Linked DNA regions of Mus musculus. The protein of the gene in region 3 interacts with the protein of the main gene of each other region in a pairwise test. Links are inferred from orthologs where the notes say so. Each region holds a gene or a part of one and is shown on either strand. Other genes may lie near its edges. The genes, in order: Fam117b, Fhl5 and Banp.

Evidence for each region.
Region 1: the proteins of Banp (region 3) and Fam117b interact in binary tests that used the Homo sapiens proteins (3 or more experiments, as listed by UniProt). The two-hybrid records come from large-scale screens. The link is inferred for Mus musculus from reciprocal best matches to the Homo sapiens genes BANP and FAM117B.
Region 2: the proteins of Banp (region 3) and Fhl5 interact in binary tests that used the Homo sapiens proteins (3 or more experiments, as listed by UniProt). The two-hybrid records come from large-scale screens. The link is inferred for Mus musculus from reciprocal best matches to the Homo sapiens genes BANP and FHL5.

The regions. Positions count from the first base shown.
Region 1 is NC_000067.6:59,947,382-59,951,034, forward strand, and holds part of Fam117b (protein FAM117B), read left to right. Parts: intron 1-1,671; coding exon 1,672-1,823; intron 1,824-3,653.
Region 2 is NC_000070.6:25,211,754-25,215,406, reverse strand, and holds part of Fhl5 (four and a half LIM domains protein 5), read left to right. Parts: intron 1-619; 5' UTR 620-631; coding exon 632-790; intron 791-1,631; coding exon 1,632-1,806; intron 1,807-3,653. UniProt on the Homo sapiens protein: May be involved in the regulation of spermatogenesis. Stimulates CREM transcriptional activity in a phosphorylation-independent manner.
Region 3 is NC_000074.6:121,974,379-121,978,031, reverse strand, and holds part of Banp (protein BANP), read right to left. Parts: intron 3,606-3,653; 5' UTR 3,537-3,605; coding exon 3,467-3,536; intron 2,133-3,466; coding exon 2,041-2,132; intron 9-2,040; exon of another isoform or gene 1-8. UniProt on the Homo sapiens protein: Controls V(D)J recombination during T-cell development by repressing T-cell receptor (TCR) beta enhancer function. Binds to scaffold/matrix attachment region beta (S/MARbeta), an ATC-rich DNA sequence located upstream of the TCR beta enhancer.

The DNA.
Region 1 (3,653 bases), on a different chromosome or scaffold from region 3:
TATAGACACCAAACCCAGACACTATTGTGGATGCTAAGAAGTGCTTGCTGACAGGAGCCTGTTATAGCTGTCTCCTGAGAGGCTCTGCCTGAGCCAGACAAATACAGAGATAGATACTCAGATGTTCGCAGCCAAGCAACCATTCGACTGAGCATGGGGTCACCAATGGAGGAGAAAAAACTGAAGGAGCTGAAGGGGCTTGCAACCCCATAAGAAGAATAACAATATCAACCAACCAGACACCCCCCCCCCCAGAGGTCCCAGGGACTAATACACCAACTAAAGAGTATATACATGGAGTGACCCATGGGTCCAGCCATCTATGTAGTGGAGGATGGCCTAATTGGGCATCAATGGGAGGGGAGGCCCTTGGTCCTTTGAAGGCTTGATGCTCCAGTGTAGGGGGAATGCTAGGGCGGAGAGTCGGGATTGGGTGGGTGGGGGAGCACCCTCATAGAAGCAGGGGGAGGGAGGTGATGGGGGGGCGGGGGGAACCAGGAAAGAAGATAACATTTGAAATGTAAATACATAAAATATCCAATTAAAAAAATAAAGACAGTGCTATCAAATTAGAGTGGATGTAAGCACATGAAAAAAAAAAAAACCATACCACTGTTAGGGTGTTGTTTGCCCAGACTCTTGCGCGCGCTCAACTGGCCAGGAAGAACGATGCTGCAACAGGATCCTTCTGCACACGTTTATTGGGAGAGCTTGATTGTAGAGGCGAAAAGACTCTGAGCCCAGAACTGGTGCTGCTTTTATAGGCCTAGGAGAGGCGTGTCTTACACCCGGATTGGTTATGCACTATGCCTCATTTGCATGTTCCTCATCTGATTGGCTACTCTCTCTCTCAGTACCTCACAGAGCCTCATTATCATACCTCATTTGCATGTCTCACATCTGATTGGTTACTCTCTCAGTACCTCACAGAGCCTCATTATCATACCTCATTTGCATGTCTCACATCTGATTGGTTATACTCTCAGTACCTTACAGAACCTCATTATCATGCCCGGGCCAGGCAGTGTCTTTGCAAAAAACTTTACTGCATATGTACACATTGGTTGTTTGTCCAAACTTATGCGTGGTGGCCAGCAGTAGTCAGTGCCACTCTGCAACGGCACATGTGGCTTCCCACACCAGACCTCTCTCAGTCAGGAACTGTATTTTCTAAGGGTCTTTATTAGTTGTCTTCTTAGAGTCAGACTTAAGAGTATGCATAGCTAGTTGCTAAGGCTGAAGCCTAAAGGTTCTGAACTAACAGTATTTGCTTTATTTATTTATTTATTTATTTATTTAGTTTTTTTGAGACAGGGTTTCTCTGTGTAGCCCTGGCTGTCCTGGCACTCACTCTGTAGACCAGGCTGGCCTCGAACTCAGAAATCCGCCTGCCTCTGCCTCCTAAGTGCTGGGATTAAAGGCGTGCGCCACCATGCCCGGCCAGTTTATTTTAAATATACTACATATGAAATGATAGTATTTAGCCCTTTGGAATCAACTGTGAGTTGTGTTATCAATACCTGTTCTTCTATTTTTGTGGTCAGTGTTTTAGATTGGGTCTGGGCTTTGTTTATTGCCTTGTTCTTACTTGTTTGTTTTTGCATATTTAAGTTGAAGAACTTCTATAAAGCTTAAAATTTTTTTACATGAACACTTTTGCTTTATACCTAGGTGACAAAACACACCCGCCTTCCTCAAGCTCCTCCAGCATTATCCGACGCACATCTTCCCTGGATACCCTCGCAGCTCCATACCTTGCTGGGCACTGGCCCCGAGACATTCGTGGGCAAGCCGCACCCTGCATGAGGGACAAGGCCACACAGGTAGGTTTCTCTTACTTGTTCTTCTCTGAAGCATTGAGTGCACACCAGAATTTCCTCCGAAGCTTTTGAGAAGTACAGGTTTCCAGGCCTACCTTCCAGATATTTGTCTGGATTTGTTTGGCCTGGGAGCATGAATTTCTAAAAGTTCTCAAAAGTAACTCCCATAGAAATATATAATTGCGAACATACTTCCCCTTATTTATTCCTTAGAAGTTAGATTACATTCTCACAATATTTTCATGTCTGGAATTTAGACTCAAAAATTTGTAGTAGAGGATTATTCTGCATACCATTTATTTTTGTGCCCCCAAAACCTTTATATTTTGGGAGAGCTATATTACATTGTTGATTTTGTGTGTGTGTGTGTGCTCACATATCTGCATGCTTATACTGTAGAGTGCTTGAGTGCATATAGAAATTAGAGCACAACTTTGTGAAGTCAATTCTCACTTTCCAACTTTACATGAATTCTAGGGATTAAACATAGGTCAGCAGTGCGCTATCATACACTACTAAGCCCATTTACTGGCTCCATTGCTAATAGATTCCATAAATGTAAACATCTCAACAAATGGTAGTCTGAAAGTGAAGTTTCATACTTTTACATCTATCAAATTGACTAATTAAGAGGATGCTAGAATGTTAACATATAATAATTTATAAATTTATAGTTAAAGAGTTGAAGTCCAGCTAGAGGTGGTGACATGTGCTTTTAATCTTAGCACTTGGGAGGCAGAGGCAGGGAGAGCTCTGAGGCCAGCCTGGTCTACAGAGTGAGCTCTAGGAAAGCCAGGGCTACACAGAGAAACCCTGTCTTGGGAAAACAAACAAACAAACATTGAAGTCCAATATTGTACAAGCAGTTCATGATTGCATGCTAGTTTGGAGTTTCTTTTTATAGTATTACCACATTGTAATTAATTAGACATTTGTACAATCATTTACCCATTGTTTTTCATACTTACTAGACAGTGAATCCCAGTAAGGTGAAGCTGTGTCTGGCTCACTGTTGCTGTTTTCTCAGGAACAGCAACCGTATACCTGAGTAGTAAGTGCTTGAGGAGATTTTGAGGAGCATTTGCAAAGCCGTGGATCAGCAGCACAGTATTGCACTCTTGGTAATGGAGAATGAAAGGCTGCAAAGACTTCTAGTACTGTTTGCAGTTAAGTTTTTGCATTGAAAAATTGTAATTACAAACTAAATTCGACATAGAGGACTTACTCCAAGAAATGTCATCTTATTGGTTAGGATAGAATAGACAGACAGGCCTGAAAACATAAAGCCTGGCCTGGGCACTTCAGGAGGGCCACCTGGTACCCCTGCAAGATGGCTGTGCCTGTGTTTAAAGTACCTCATTGGACCTGAAGATGCTGGAGCATCCAAACAGACCATGGCTTTTGTAAATAGGCAATGCTGAAGCCCATTGTGATAACCACATCCAAAAGGCTTTTCCATCTAGGGAGCCAGGCCTGGGTATGTTATAGGAAGATTCTGGTGTCCCCATGACTCTGGAAACGTTGTTGAACTGATGAATAAAATAAGAGTAAACCTCTGAAGAACTGGGTGATGGGAGTTGTGAGCCCAACCCTGTCTACAGTCTCCTGTGGGTTCTCTAATTTTAGTTTTTGGTTTTGGTTTTTGTTTTCTTTTTATCTTAATGGAAGCCATGTATTTTTTTTTAAACAATTTTTTTATTAGATATTTTCTTCATTTACAATTCAAATGCTATCCTGAAAGTCCCTTATACCCTCCCCTCGCCCTGCTCCCCAACCCACCCACTCCCGCTTCCTGGCCTGGCATTCCCCTGTATTGGGGGGTATATAATCTTT
Region 2 (3,653 bases), on a different chromosome or scaffold from region 3:
AATGCAGTAATTTTATGCAAGTTTGAATTAAAAAAAAGGAATTGTTATTTCTATGAAATCCCACTTTCAGAACTCATGATGATAGCTATGTAATGCCAGTTATAACCACGCTGTCCACAGGTCCCAGGATTGTGTTGATGTGGGGCATCTCCTGTCTACCACGTTCTCACTGATTCCTACATTGGCACATGGTGAATAAAAGATTTGTCTCACGATTTGGATGGTTTTTGTTTTAAGAAAAAGAAGGCCAGGTGGTGGTGGCACAGACTGGGTGGTGGTGGCACACATCTTTAATCCCAGCACGTGGGGGAAAAGCAGGTGGATCTCCATGAGTTCAAGGATAGCATGATCTGCAGCAAGAGAGAGCTTAAGGACAGCCAAGTCTATAAAGAGAAACCCTGTCTCAGACATAGGTAGAGGGGGAAAGAGATCATTCAAAAGAACTCCCAAGATGGGTAGCCTTTTCTAAATCACCATGACTACAAGCAGCTCCCTAAATTTGTGAAATTTTGCCTAGTAACGTATAAACTCAAATGCTTGACTCACATTTTATAAAGGATTTATTTTATTTGTAATGACACTATGTAATGTACAAAGTCTTTTTTTTTTTAATCCATAGGATAAAACTGAAATGACAAGTAGTCAATTTGATTGTCAATACTGCACTTCATCCCTGATTGGGAAGAAATATGTACTCAAGGATGATAATCTATACTGCATCTCCTGCTACGATCGTATCTTTTCTAACTATTGTGAGCAGTGTAAAGAACCAATTGAATCAGATTCTAAGGTAGGAGTCACTTCTGTTCACACAGTTACTGCTCATATATAGTAGGTCATTGCTTCAGGATGCTCCTTTTCTCTGTTGACTTTTACCCACGTTTTCTACAGTGTAAGGCTGTGAAACACAAGTTTTAACCTCATCCTATTCTTAAGACAACTTGTGTGTGTGGCAGGGTGTGGTGTGTGTGTGTGCTGGTGTGTGGTGTGTGTGTGTCTGTGTGTCTGAGTAGTAGTTTTAGGATGAGTAAAAACAAAAAAATGTAAGAAATTAAACTGTTTCCCCAGAATTTTACAACTAAAATGTTGTTACTTCTGGAATAGCTAAGGTATATAAAATACATTTAAAAATTTGGAAGTATAGGGAATAGAAATGCCTTCTTAAAAGTCTGCCTTGTTCCCTTAGCCCTGCAGGCTGCACCTTCTCACCTCACACTCTCTCCTCCTTTACGAATATTATTTGCTTTCTCTTCTTCCTTGCCTTTGCTTTAGCTAAGTGTTGTCATTTGTTTGAAGTCTCAATAGATAATAAGATACCACAACTAAAAAAATAAAATAAAATAAAATAAAATAAAATAAAATAAAATAATTCCATGTAAAACCTTTCTGGTAGGCTATAAAAGAAAGATAGATAAAATTGATAAAATCCAGCGAGATTATTTTTCAATGGCCACTCAAACAAGCCTGAGTTTTTTGCTCTAATTACTCCAGTCTCCTTTTTACAGATAACAGTTTCAGCAACTCTCCCTGAAACTAGTGGCACTAGGTTCCCAAGAATGTCCCATCTTGTCTTAGAAAACAGCTTGTTTTATTGCAAGCACATTTAATTAACTTCATTTCCTGTCTGAAAGGATCTTTGCTACAAAAACCGTCACTGGCATGAAGGATGCTTCAGGTGCAACAAATGCCATCACTCTTTGGTGGAAAAGCCTTTCGTTGCCAAGGATGATCGCCTGCTGTGCACAGACTGCTATTCCAACGAGTGTTCCTCCAAGTGCTTCCACTGCAAGAGAACCATCATGCCAGGTGAGATCCGGGTGGCTCTGCCTAAGGAAACTGCATCTCTAGTCACAATACTAGCATCACTGGCTCACAACACTGCTCTAAGAAAAGAAGTGCTGTTCTTGCTTTCTTCCTCTGATTTTCCATTCATCCATTCTTCCTGAACACATAAATGATGGTGCTCTGCAATTTTGTGATATTTTTGCAGTGACCAATGTCTTCTTTTTCATAAAACCTAATTCATAGAGACTTGTTGAGCCAGAGACAGAACTGAAGGATAAAGCTTATACCAGAAGAGCAACTGAAAACGCCCTGCCTTGGGCATAATCAGTGGTGTTAAAAGGATCAGTCTTCATAAGAATTTGGCCATAATCCTCACTCTGTCATTCATTCATTTATTCACTTATTTTATTTGTGTATTCTTTTCTTTTGGGAGTGTCAGAGGACTTCTTTTTTTATTATTAGATATTTACTTTATTTACATTTCAAATGCTGTCCCTTTTCCTGGTTTCCCCTCTGAAAGCCCCCATCCCCCTCCCCCTCCTCCTGCTCACTACCCAACCCACACCCACTTCCTATCCCTGACATTCTTCTACACTGGGGCATCAAGCCTTCACAGGACCAAGGGCCTCTCCTCTCATTGATGACTGACTAGACCTAGGCCATCCTCTGCTGCATATGTAGCTAGAGCCATGAGTCCTACCATGTATACTCTTTAGTTGGTGATTTAGTCCCTGGGAGCTCTGGGGGTACTGGTTAGTTCATATTGTTGTTCCTCCTATGGGGCTGCTAACCTGTTCAGCTCCTTGGGCCCTTTCTCTAGCTCCTTCATTGGGGACCCTGTAGGCTAGGAGGATCCACCTCTGTATTTGTCAGGCACTGGTGGAACCTCTGCGTTGACAGCTATAATAGGCTTCTGTCAGCAAGCACTTGTTGGCGTCCACAAAAGTGTCTGGGTTTAGTGATTGTATATGGGATGGATCCCCAGGAGGGGCAGTTTCTGGATGGTCATTCCTTCAGTCTCTGCTCCATACTTTGTCTATGTAACTAGAGGACAACTTTTGTGAGTGAGTTCTCTTTTTTCCCCATACAGGATCCAGGGATCAACCTTAAGTCAGCAGGCATAGCATCAAGTTCCTTTACCAGTTTGGCCTTTTCAGTGGACCAATAGGCATCATTTTATAGCTCTATACAAACTAGTTTGAGAGGAATTGCTTTCTTTCAGGGAAAATGGTCCCATGTAAATAACATCACTTAAAAGTTTAATTAAAATACAATATTATTTTCCTTCTTTATCTTCTCCCTCCTACCCCTCATAAGTTAGTCCCCCTCTCAGATTTCCAGCCTCTTCTTTAACCTTTGTTGCTACATAGACATGTAAGCAAATAAACATATAAACACAACCTAATGAGTCCTTTTAGTGGTTCCTGGAGGTGTTTATTCTAGTACTGACCATTTAGTATTAGGTATGGGGGACTTTTGGTATAGCATTGGAAATGTAAATGAGCTAAATACCTAATAAAAAATGGAAAAGAAAAAAAAAAGAAAACTAATCTGGGCTCATCGCTGGGAAATACTAATAGTTTTTCTCTCAGCATCCCTTACTCCTAGCTATTCACCTAGGTATGAGGCCTGATGAAATCCCCCCCACCCCATGTTAGAGCATTAACTGTTTTGGGAATCGTTCAGGTCTAGTTTAGGCATCCATGTTTAGATTTCATGGATGCAGCTCCCTTCTCATACCTAAAAGCAATGATTTGATGGCAAATTTCCTGTTTCTCTGGCTCTTAAAATCTTTCCTCCCTCTCTGCTATGCTCACCCCTTTTATTTTGGTCCTTTCCTATCCCATGAGTCAATCAATGCCCCAATT
Region 3 (3,653 bases):
GCTACCATGTACATGGCGCACACAGGAACTCTACTGTGAAGAGAGGCCTCCCAGGCAACATTCTGGGTGCCAGGAAATCATTCAACTGTGTATGGCCAGCAGCCGCTGAAGAAAACACAATGAGGATTCGGCTGGAAGAGAAATGCAGCCTCAGGCACCTCAGGAAGAAGGTGCTAGCCTATGAGAACAAAGGGTCAGGCCAGCGCTGGACCTCAGAGCACAGGCAGGCAGAACAGCGTGTCCCTCTGCACCCAGTCCAAGTTAATGGGAGCCATCTCTGCTCTAACTTGAAAGGGAATCACGGAGCAGAATCACAATCATAACAGCCACAGAAGCAGATACCACACCAACAACAACCGGGTGTGGCAAAGCACGAATGCATGGGTCAGAGCATTCTGAGTAGCCAGGCACGGCCCTGAAGAACCCTGAGCTTGCTCTATTTCTCTGCTATGCACAGCAGTCAGGAGCAGCCATGGGAAAGTGCTGCATACCCAAAGCCCTCACATCTGCCCCAACTCAGCACATCCTCTGCCAGAGCCAGCACCACTTAGAGAAGATTCCTTTTCTTCAGTGCTACGGGCCTTACTCCTCCATTTCCTGTCATTAACCAGCACCCTGAACCCTGGCTTAAAGGCCTCTTTTCACAGAAAGACACTAGTAAGAAGAAGGTTAAGGAGAAGACCTGACGCTCCCCGCTAACCATGCTCTCTAGGGGCAAGGCTGTGCCTGCGAGGGAACAAGCAGCAGCGCTCAGCTCATCCCCAGTGTCCACTCGGCTATCAACGGAGCAGCGTCGGCAGTGCAGGCAGACACCATGACAACTACATGGTGGCCAACTGAGAGAGGAAAATCCCTGTTACAGACTAACTAACATCTCAAGCAAACCCATAGAGGAGAAGAGAGACAGCATTCTTCCTGACACTGCTCCACGGGTCAGGTGCCCACAAACAGCCCTGACCTGTCTGGTGAGAATTACTTTGGCAATTTGGTACGTGAATGTCTTCCAATCCCGTGACAGCACTCGGCTGCATGCGACAGCACACATGCAGTGTCTCCAGCAGACCCCAGGCAGCTGCTTTCCTCCATGGTCTGTTTCTCTGTGTGCTCTATGCTACAGTTAAGGTCACGGGTTACTTTGAGATCTGATACTGTCAAGGTGGATTTCACTCAATATTTTTTGAGATAGCTTCTTTCTATGTAGCCCTGGCTGTTCCAGAACTCAATATGTACACCAGGCTGGCCACAAACTCAGAGATCTGCCTGCCTCTGCCTCTCAAGTGCCAGGGTTAAAGGTGCGTGGTGCCCCTTCTGGCCTGAGTAGATTCTGAATTCCCAGCTTCAGCTGGCACTACCTTCTTGTCACCAGAGTGAGCTGAGTGTCTTAAGAAGTCACAGTTGACACAGAGAAGCCTATGACAAGGACTGGTGTCATCTGAGTCACTCTTATAAACTTCTCTCCTGTAATAATATTCACCTCGTGTTCTGCAGACACTGGATCCCAAATAAGCAAGTCCGGAAGCAATGCACCGACTGCCTAAGGAGCCTCCAACCCCAGCCAGCCTTGGGGGTGGGCCCCAGTGACCTCAGGACTTGGGGGTGGGCCCAAGTGACCTCAGCTCTCCTCCCACCTGAGGCAGGCTTACTCAGGCACAGGAAGACTCTTCGCTTGTCCTCTCCCAAATCCAGTGTTTCCTCCTGTCTTTTGCCGGAAGGACCTGGCCTGTATTTTCTGCAGCATTTCAGTGGCATCTCAATACTACAGGGCCAGGCCCTTCCTGTGGCCTCATCTGGAAAAAAGCTCTTTGCACATGTATTTAAATAAATGACCCATCTGGGCCTGAGTGAGGGTAGGCCTCAGGCATGGACTCGAGTAATAAGGCTGGGACCAATAGGTCACAGCAGAGGAGGCAGGGAGAGCCTCCTTAGAATCCCAGAAGGTGTGGCCCTGCCACTGCAGAGCTGCAAGAGGGTTGGTTCTGCTATTCTAAGCCCAGGTTGATGGTAGAAAGTTACACAGTGCCCACAGGAGCCACACGGTACCTTTATAGAGGGGTCCTGGCAATTGATCTCTAGTCGCTGGCGCTTCAAGGCAGGTTCATCATCATCTGTCACGACATGATTCTCCAAAACAACTGAAAAGCAACCACAGAGACAGAAGCTGGAGTGAGCATGCTGAGTTCCTTGGGGCTCTGTGCCTCTACAGCCGAACACAGTGCCGGTACCTTGAGGCTGATGAAAATGGCACAGCCATTTCTTTGTTAAAATCCTCAGCCAGGCAGAAATCAGGCCCTCCCTCATCCATCCCCACCAAAATCAGACCACCCGATCGATACTCCCCAGAGCCTGGTGGGCAAAGCACACTGAGGCGCCGTCATCGGTGACTGCTTCCCCACTGTGTTTAGTGTGTCTGCGGCTACGTCACTGTAAAATCCAAAGCACCCTCACCTGGCCTGGCCTGAGGTCCTGGCCCACTCCCTGCATGGGGCTGAGAGCACGTACATACTGACAGCCACAACCCTCTCTGCATGTCATATGCCCCAATCTAGCACAGCCAACACGCTGACTTACACGGAAGCTGAACTGCTCACGAGCCGCCCACAAACAGTTCCTGCTGACCTTTAAGGCCTGCTTTCAGATAAGCAAGGTAACCCTAACGCCAACCTCTGCAGTACCATCCCAACGTATTAAAGTGATGATCACCAAGCCTAAGAGCAGTTACACCTTATCCCTGCCACACTGCACCTCTATAGCGACCTGCACGGACTAGTCCTGTTCTCACACAGGAGCACTCATTTCCCTAAAGCTTACTTTTATTTATATATATATGTGTGTGTGTGTGTGTGTGTGTGTGTGTGTGTGTGTGTGTGTGTGTGAGTAAATGTATGCAATTCGTGTGGGATGCCCTCAAAAGCCAGAAGGAGTTATAGGTGGTTGGAAGCTGTCCAATGTGGGAAGAAGCCCAGGTCCTCTGGAAGAGAAGAAGTACTCCTAACCACTGAGCCACTGCTCTGGCCTGATACAGCCACCTTCCCAGAATTCTGTGCTCAGCATTTGTACTGACTTTTATGCCATGAATAGTTTCATGTCACTAGTTCAGTTTTTCTCACTGAATGCCTGTGCATTTCTCCAGCCTCTGTGTGCTCACTCACAATAGAAAAGACGAGACTGCTACCTACAGCTCTGTGTCTGCCTTGCCTCCTCCTTTGGCAACACACAGCAGCCATCTAGAGCAATGGCCAGAACTCTTTTAAATAAGTATGTGTGGATGTGTGTGTGTGTGTGTGTGTGTGTGTGTGTACACAAGCACACATGCAGGCAGCCCTGCAATCATCCTATGATTTAAATTTTCACACAGGGCTGGCATCTCTGCTGTGTCTGCTTTACTGGGGAATGAAGTCCGGCAGAGTGGCTTTGATACTGAAAAGACAGGGAGAGCAACAGTGCATCGACTGTCTCACGGCTGTACCTGGGTGATCAGGGCTCAGGTCTTCCACTGCAATCTGAACCACATCCGCCAGGTCCTGCTCTGACATCATCCAGAGCACGAGGAAGGGGCACACTGACAGCAAGAGTCCAGAAGTCACAGGGTATGCGGTTTCTGTCACCTGCAAAACAAATGTCAAGAACCAGAAGGGATGATTAACGTCCCAGTG